2 linked regions of the Bombyx mori genome follow. Each later gene encodes a partner of the first gene's protein in a complex. Links are inferred from orthologs where the notes say so. Each region holds a gene or a part of one and is shown in the gene's direction. Other genes may lie near its edges.

The links. The genes of interacting proteins can lie anywhere in the genome.
Region 2: the proteins of mRNA cap-binding protein eIF4E (region 1) and eukaryotic translation initiation factor 4E-binding protein Mextli are in contact, whole or in part, in a crystal structure (PDB 5ABV), measured with the Drosophila melanogaster proteins. The link is inferred for Bombyx mori from reciprocal best matches to the Drosophila melanogaster genes eIF4E1 and mxt. Residues at the interface, in NP_001261626.1 of Drosophila melanogaster: Lys80, His81, Pro82, Leu83, Met84, Tyr91, Glu93, Asn105, Glu106, Ile107, Thr108, Ser109, Val113, Glu114, Trp117, Ser118, Leu119, Tyr120, Asn121, His122, Ile123, Lys124, Pro125, Lys130, Tyr135, Asn171, Leu174, Asp175, Leu178, Ile181; in NP_001260053.1 of Drosophila melanogaster: Val579, Ser580, Tyr581, Ile583, Leu586, Leu587, Tyr589, Ser590, Ser592, His594, Ser595, Trp596, Thr597, Leu598, Pro599, Asp601, Trp602, Lys604, Met605, Thr608, Ala609, Ser611, Ile612, Leu613, Arg614, Asn615, Leu618, Arg624, Phe625, Tyr630.

What each region holds. Positions count from the first base shown.
Region 1 is NC_085128.1:2,391,910-2,396,241, forward strand, and holds the start of mRNA cap-binding protein eIF4E, read left to right. Parts: upstream 1-1,362; 5' UTR 1,363-1,769; coding exon 1,770-1,799; intron 1,800-2,091; coding exon 2,092-2,270; intron 2,271-2,919; coding exon 2,920-3,097; intron 3,098-3,583; coding exon 3,584-3,671; intron 3,672-4,332. Other genes in the region: spermine synthase, read right to left, coding at 124-405. UniProt on the Drosophila melanogaster protein: Recognizes and binds the 7-methylguanosine (m7G)-containing mRNA cap during an early step in the initiation of protein synthesis and facilitates ribosome binding by inducing the unwinding of the mRNAs secondary structures.
Region 2 is NC_085110.1:13,311,157-13,314,482, forward strand, and holds the end of eukaryotic translation initiation factor 4E-binding protein Mextli, read left to right. Parts: intron 1-710; coding exon 711-815; 3' UTR 816-2,657; downstream 2,658-3,326. UniProt on the Drosophila melanogaster protein: Plays a role in promoting translation.

The sequences.
Region 1 (4,332 bases):
GGTTAAACTATTTTTAGTACTTCTTATTTTTTCTACCGAGTTTCGCAAAGACTTTACAATAATAATATAATGTGCCAAAATAAAATAATAGCACTCAATACATTCAATCGATATAATCCTCACCTTGTGATCGATCACGGACTCCTCATTTCCGCCCTTGTAAAATTCAATATTTAAAGTAATGAAACCTCGGTCAAACATCCTAACGGATACAGTCGTTCCTTTATTACCGGTTAATAATTTCAATGAACCATCTTCCAATTTTATGTCGGTGGCTAGGATCAAATTTGGTATATATTCTTTTAATAGAGTTTCCAATTGTCCAAAGATATCTTTTTGGCCGTTTTCATCTTCCAGACGGGCCGCTTCAATCGAGAAATCCAATAAGATATTGTGAACTGACATTTTACAGTGATGTATTAAATTTTGTTTTGTTACTGTATAATCTAATTATTAACCGTCGATTAAGCCGGCAAACCAGACGACGCACACGGAGTTTTGAAACCGATCAATAATGTGAATTGCATAGATTATACACTTTGGTGAATTGTGAATTACAAATTACAATTTTATTATGAATTTATTTCCGGTCTGTGCTCGCATAGGGTTGTGCATGCCTTTTTGGCGGGAACTCGAGAAGTGAAGTTGTGTGATTTGTTTTATTTTGTCTATTTAGTGTTTCTTCAGGTGTAAATGTGTAATAACGGTGATTTATTAACTGTTTAGTATCTGAGAAAGTGCACAAATGTGGGAAAATGAAACAAAGCCGCTGAACGTAGCTTCTCGGGATCCTCCAAAAAGTCCACTGAAAAAGTCTCAGTAAATGATCACCATTTTACTGAGGTTATATTTCATCTCATTTCGTTTCATTTTCATTTCATTTCATTTGACTCCATATTATCATTTTTCATAAACATAAGAAAATAAATTAAAATAAGACTTAATGGTCTTAGTTACCAGGTCATAAAATCCCTTTAAAAAAAGAGGTTGTGCATAGATAAGGATATCATACGATGATTTCTATTAGCTAGTTCTAAATAGAGGTCAGCAGCGAAACAACTTTTCACAGCTATGCTTTGGTATATTGCTGGTAAGACAGGTGGCTACTCTGCTCAAAAGTTTTCGAATGGCAATCGCACGCTGTAAGGCGCATTGTGGGTAGGCCTTTCACAACGGTTCGAAGGACCGACCTGGTGAAGGTCACGAGATCTGCTCGACTGGTCACTGTAGCCAACTTCGGAAAAGGCCTGTGTTTATAAGGTGATGATGGAAATGCCGTGATTTAATATTTTCCATTTGCCCAAAACACGTCATTTCGGATCCTCGCGATCCACTATCGGTGCTTTTAGGCACCCCCCAGTACTGGTGACCATTCTCGTCACTCCTCTCGAATGCGACGAAGGGTTCGGCGAGCAAATTAACCCTGAGTTAATCAGCCCACTGAGTTTCTCGCCGAATCTTCTCAGTGGGTCGTGTTTCCGATCTGGTGGTAGATACTGCGAAGCACTGTTCTTAATAGGGCTAGTGTTAGCAAATTCACCAGGCTTAGCCCCGTGAACTCGCCTACTCGCTTCGTGAAGCTGGTATAATCCCATGAGATCACCAACATAGGTAGACAAAAAAATGACACCCTTAAATAAATCTAGACCATGATTAGCGCACATCCACTTTATAAAATAATAAATAATTTACGCGATTTCTGATTTGGCAACCCCGTTGACTCTGTCGCTCCTTTTCGTAGGAAATTTGCATCGTTATCCTCTCAAGATATGGCTGGAAATACTACAGAAGAAGTAGAGGTGGGTAGATGTAATTATTAAGAAAACAAAGTAATTTTCTACCTCGTTTTGCCGGTTATACAATCGTAAAACCTATAATTTTGCCGCAATTTGCTGATGTGGCTTCGTTAACTTTCACTGTTACATTTGTTAGCATAATTGTCTAGTTTTCAAGTATAAATTATAACTTTACCTCGCTCGAGTGGTTTTCTGTGTAAAAATATTCCGGATTAAGTCGTTAAACGACTTCTACGAAAATAACAATATTTTTTTTAGGTTAGGTTCACTAATAAAAATGACCTGTGTTTTTAAGGGGTCTACTACCACTGAAACGAAGACCAACAGTAACGCGGAGGTGCCCCCTGAATTTTTGATCAAGCACCCGTTACAAAACCAGTGGAGTCTCTGGTTTTACGACAATGACCGAAACAAAACATGGGAGGAGAATCTTATTGAGTTGACTACATTCGACACAGTTGAAGACTTTTGGAGGTAAAGGAAAATGCCGGTTACAGAAGTAAATTATAAATTTCATACATTTTAGAAGTACATTCATGCAACTTCTATACATTTGCAACCTAGATGAGAAAGTAAATTCTGATGGAACCTGAACTTAAACAGAATTAATTTTGCTCAAGATTAAACTAGAACACTTTCTTATAGAGCTAATTATTACGTATCTATTATAATTAATGTGATTAGTTGTCGATTTAATCATCTGTTCTTTTATTTACTTGTTATATTTTCTATAATAATAATGTATCTAACATGTAGAATGGAGTGATGGATGCCATAGGTCCATGACATATTTCCCTTTCGCGCACCAATACATCAAGTATGTTCAAAAAATCATTGAGGGGTTTTTGCACAAAAAACTTTTAAGAAATACATCAAAAATAATGAGTGACTTATGGAACCAGTGACTACTCATTGCTTACTGATAGATGTCAAATGGCAGATACAATGTGTCTGTCGTAGCCCCCTGTGCTAAACATGGTTTCTATTTTTGTCAACATGTATTCATTCATTAATTCTATAGATTCATTCCATTATAATAAGAAAATGCCAAAAATTACTCTGAGTAGTCAATTTAGTAATTAGTAGGTTTTTATTTAAGCAAAACTGTTATTGCACATTACAGATTGTACCATCATATTAAGCTACCGTCAGAACTTCGCCAAGGTCATGACTATGCAGTATTCAAGCAAGGCATTCGTCCTATGTGGGAAGACGATGCTAACAAGATGGGAGGAAGATGGCTTATCAGTCTTGAGAAAAAACAACGCTTTACTGATTTAGATAGGTTCTGGTTAGATGTGGTATGTTAAACTTTTTTATTATATACCGTTTTAGAATACTTCTTTTTTGAGTATCAAGTTTGACATAATGAAAGGAAAAGATTTTCTAAAAATATGACAAGTTTTTCTGAGCACATGTTTGTGAGTGAATATTAGCTTGATTGCACTATCCCATGTTTATAAACATTTAATAAGATGTTGTAGCTTATTTAAGATCATTGGTTTCTAAGAAACCACAAATCATGCCTCAAATAGTTAAGGCTGCCCACTCAAATCCTGTTGAATATTAGAATACAGTTACAGATAGAAACTGTATTGTAGGAAGGAGATGAAGGATCATCTCCTATCTCATTACCTACAAGCTGTATGCTTGGCTCTATGTTCTGTTGATCTTTGTTTGAAGTAATGTGGATGTGTGGAAGGATGTGACCAGTAAGCACCTACAACAAGGAACCAGAGATGTGTGTGAGATGCATTAAAATTGAAGATATTGTATTTAATTTTCAGGTTCTTCTTTTAATTGGTGAAAATTTCGAGAATTCAGATGAGATTTGTGGTGCTGTTGTTAATGTCAGACCAAAAGTAGATAAAATTGGTAAGTTTCAAAATAAAAATCTTCATTTTCTTAGTGAAATTACATAACATTCTAAGTTCTATGAATATCTAGAGGGTTTTGTTGTGTTCTTGTTAACATGAATAATAAGTAATGACATTAGCCAAGGTCATGTTGGAAAACGAGCCAAACACTAACAGAGCATCTGTTAAACAAACATAATTAGTAAATGCACAACTCACATTATAGAATTATCTAAAGTGATTTGTGAATTTAAATTGTATTATACTATGCACAAATATAAATAAATTAAACTATCTGCTGTACTGTGTTCTCTAATTATATATGCAGTAGTGCATATAATTATCTTATTATCTATGAGCACGTACAATACTGAAGTATCAAAGGAAACTGTTTATCATCACAATATGTATTAGTTTAATTTGTTTAGCTTGTAATTGATAATGATTAAAACATTATGGATCCTTATAAACCCTAAAATATCTGTAGTGCAGAGGAATAAATAAAAAAATATACAGACTGAAAGATAAAATTCATCTGAATTTGTCTCATGTCTCTTTGTTGTAGGCTTTTATACAATTACAATAATGAGAGTTTATGAGAGTCTTCGAGGTCATCTTAGTGAAAATTAGTCAAAATTAAATGTGTATTATCTTAAATGATTTATCATTTATCTTATCAC
Region 2 (3,326 bases), on another chromosome or scaffold:
AAATGAGTTTATAAGACTGAGATATAATTTATTAAAATTATCTAATATTTGTGTTAAATCTAAGGTATATAACGCTATACTAACATTGTATGTGTATGTTCACGCTGCTGGTACAGAATGGGTATTCCAGAGAGGTTCGTCACAGGTAGAAAATCAATTCCATCGTTTCAATTTCGCTTTTAAATTGTAAATTTTATGTGATTAATATTTAATCTGTGTTTTGTTTTGTAGTTGCTGAAATTAAATGTGTGGTTTATATATACAGCTTGTCAATTCTGTTATTATGAATATAAACTATGAAAAATTTGTGGCCTATTCTTCCGCTCATCCCATTAACTACTAATAATACTACTAATATCTACTATCGCTGATTATTCTCTAAACTATATCGACGCTTGAAAGGCAAATGCTAATAACTGCTTTATACATAAATGATAGGCAATAACCATATTCGATGCGCAAAAATATATATATTTCTAGGTCTATTAAAATCATTTCAATCCTACAGCTAGATTCGTTAAAATATAATATTTTTCGGGTATTTCAACTTTAGTCTACCGTAAAGTTCACGCATTGTCGCTTAGTCACGTTGCCTTTCAAGCGTCGATTATGCTTAAACATTAAACATTAGCGCTTTCGGGAAATGGAAAGGGTTTGTATGTGGTGTGTTGGCTTCAGTTCGAGGCGATAAATTAGTTACGTATCAACAGAGCTGCCTGGAGTTCGACAGCGCGTCCTACTTGAAGAAGGTCCGCGCGGCGGGGGGCACGTCCGTGGCCACAGTGGACGCGCCCGACTCGCCGGAGCCGGAATAACCGCACGCCGCAAGACGCCGGCTTCGATCGAATCACCATTACAATACAATCACCCCGACTGTTTGATTACCAAAAGAAAATAGCGCTATCCGATTCCCGCACTAGACACTGAAATATATTTGTTATTTATGAAACTTAAAAAAATAAAATGAAAATTTTCAGAATCATATACTAAAATATGATTCGGGTTTTCACGTTTTATTCTTTATTAGCATCATAGCCATTAGACACAGCAGCACAAGGTTTATTTTTTATTTTTTATTTCGAATAAAAGTTTTGAGAACTTTTCTTATGTCGAATCTGCATTATGGTTACACATTTAAAATCGCTCTGCTACACTGCCGGTCAGTTTATTTTTGGTAATTAAAGTGGGGTGTACATTGGTGATGATGATTCCCCAGTTCGCCTCACGTCTCAGTAGTTATCTGTTCTTTATACACCTTAATGGAGCTTTTTTTGAATTATTATTTATAAAACTCATTCGAAAAGTATTAAATGCACCAAATTTTTTTATTGCGGTGGTTTCTTAGAATAAGCGCACGGATTGCACGCAGTTACTGTGTGAGGCCCAAGCGTCCACCGCCCTCCGCACCTCGAATCAGACGCACACTCGCACTAATTGCGTTAAATAAAAAAATATAATATATTTTAAAATATTATTTTTAGTAATTGAGTAACGATCAACTGATTTAAATAAAGCACAACCGCATCCGGCTCTGCATTCAACTCGCGCGCCTATCTTAAGTAAACCTCGTTTTCGTGGATAAATATTTATTTTATGATAGATATGGATTTGACCGTTTAAACGGTGGTAAGATGATATCCTGATTATCGAATACGAAAATATTGTCACTTTCGGTAGGAAGATGATTGCACGAATTCCGCTGTCTTTCAATACCTAGTTGATCTCTTTTTGTCTATGGTTTTACTTATATTTAGTTTAGCGACAGTAACAAAGAAACCAGACATCGATGGAAATAATCTGGAAAAACTATACGTCCATTATAATTCAATATTATTCGAATATATTTTTGTTGTATATATTATTGACTATTGTTAGTAACGGAAGTCATAGTGATTCCATTTAATTTAAGAAGAATGCATGCATTTCTTTCGTGTGTTTGTATACTCACTTAAATCTCTGTGTCTAGTCCTGACGAGTAAATGTTAATTCTCATTATGACGAAGCAGCTGCTAAAACGCATCGAGTGAGCCTGTCAATTTTTAATTTAATTTAAAATTTATTATTTTGAAGCTATTTGTCAAATAATAAAGCAACTTAGCGCTTAAATTTAACTTATCTATAAACTAAACCAAATAATTTGTTGTTTCCTAAAATATTTAATTAACATAGGTGGCAATTGACAGGCATCATTTGAAATAAATTATTCTCTTTTGTGTATAGATGTCAAAATTTTAAAAGCTAAAGAAAAAATATTTTGTGATGTTAAAATATATTTGATTTTTCTGTTCAAAAAAATATTTTTGTTATTAACACCAGCCATCAATCCTTTATACTCAAATCGTAAGTTTTTAAATGACTGATACTGAAATTTGTATTACATTAGTTTTTTTCATAATGCACATACTAAATTTTTTAGTTTGTAAATTTTGTAGAGGTCTGATTAGTTGTAATTGAATTATGATGTGGATCTAACAGGATTTATGGTTGGTCTATTGCACTATATGCACATAGTATAATATATTTTTCAAATTTCACAATTAGTTGGTGCTTGTTACCTGGGAAGTATTATTTGTTAAATTTATGATGATTTTATGTTTACACGTTTTTTATGTAAGAAAATTATTGTGGCCACTGATGAAATACTAAATTTTCTAATAGATAGGAGTTTTATTTATTCTACAGCTCTACAAAACTAGGAAACTAGTAAATAATTGAAATTATAAAGCCAATGGTTTATAAATATTTATTCAAATAAATAGCGAAATTACAGAAATAATCATTGTAGCTTTACAACTAATATCAAAGTCAGTATTATTAATAGGCATTAAGTTAATTAAATAAATGACAATACATTCTACCAGACTACAAGTTAGTAATCGCTGCACAAACAAAAAAATGGGGGAAAAAAGAGGAATTAACAAAAAAAATTTAATGTCAGCATGTGATTTCCAACAAAAATATATTTTTTCATATATTTGCTGAACACCAATAACAAAATGGCGTTCTAAATTGACGAGACTCATTTGCACTAATATTGACTTTTTATTCGACGAATTGTTTAGTTTTCTGCCTGAAAATCGAATAACTTCGAAAGGCTAAAAAGCGTGTACATCCTAATTGTATAACCAGTACTGTTTGATAAGACCATTACAATTTCGTCGTAAGATAGTGTTTTGCAGCTTTTTATGATTATTACTTAGAATTATTTTTGTTAACAAATTCACATGATTAAAGTGGCCCTCTCACTACTAATACAGCGGATGTTTATATCCAGCAATCCTACATATTGGTCTGTCCGGATGTTGAATTGATTCAAGTATACGCCC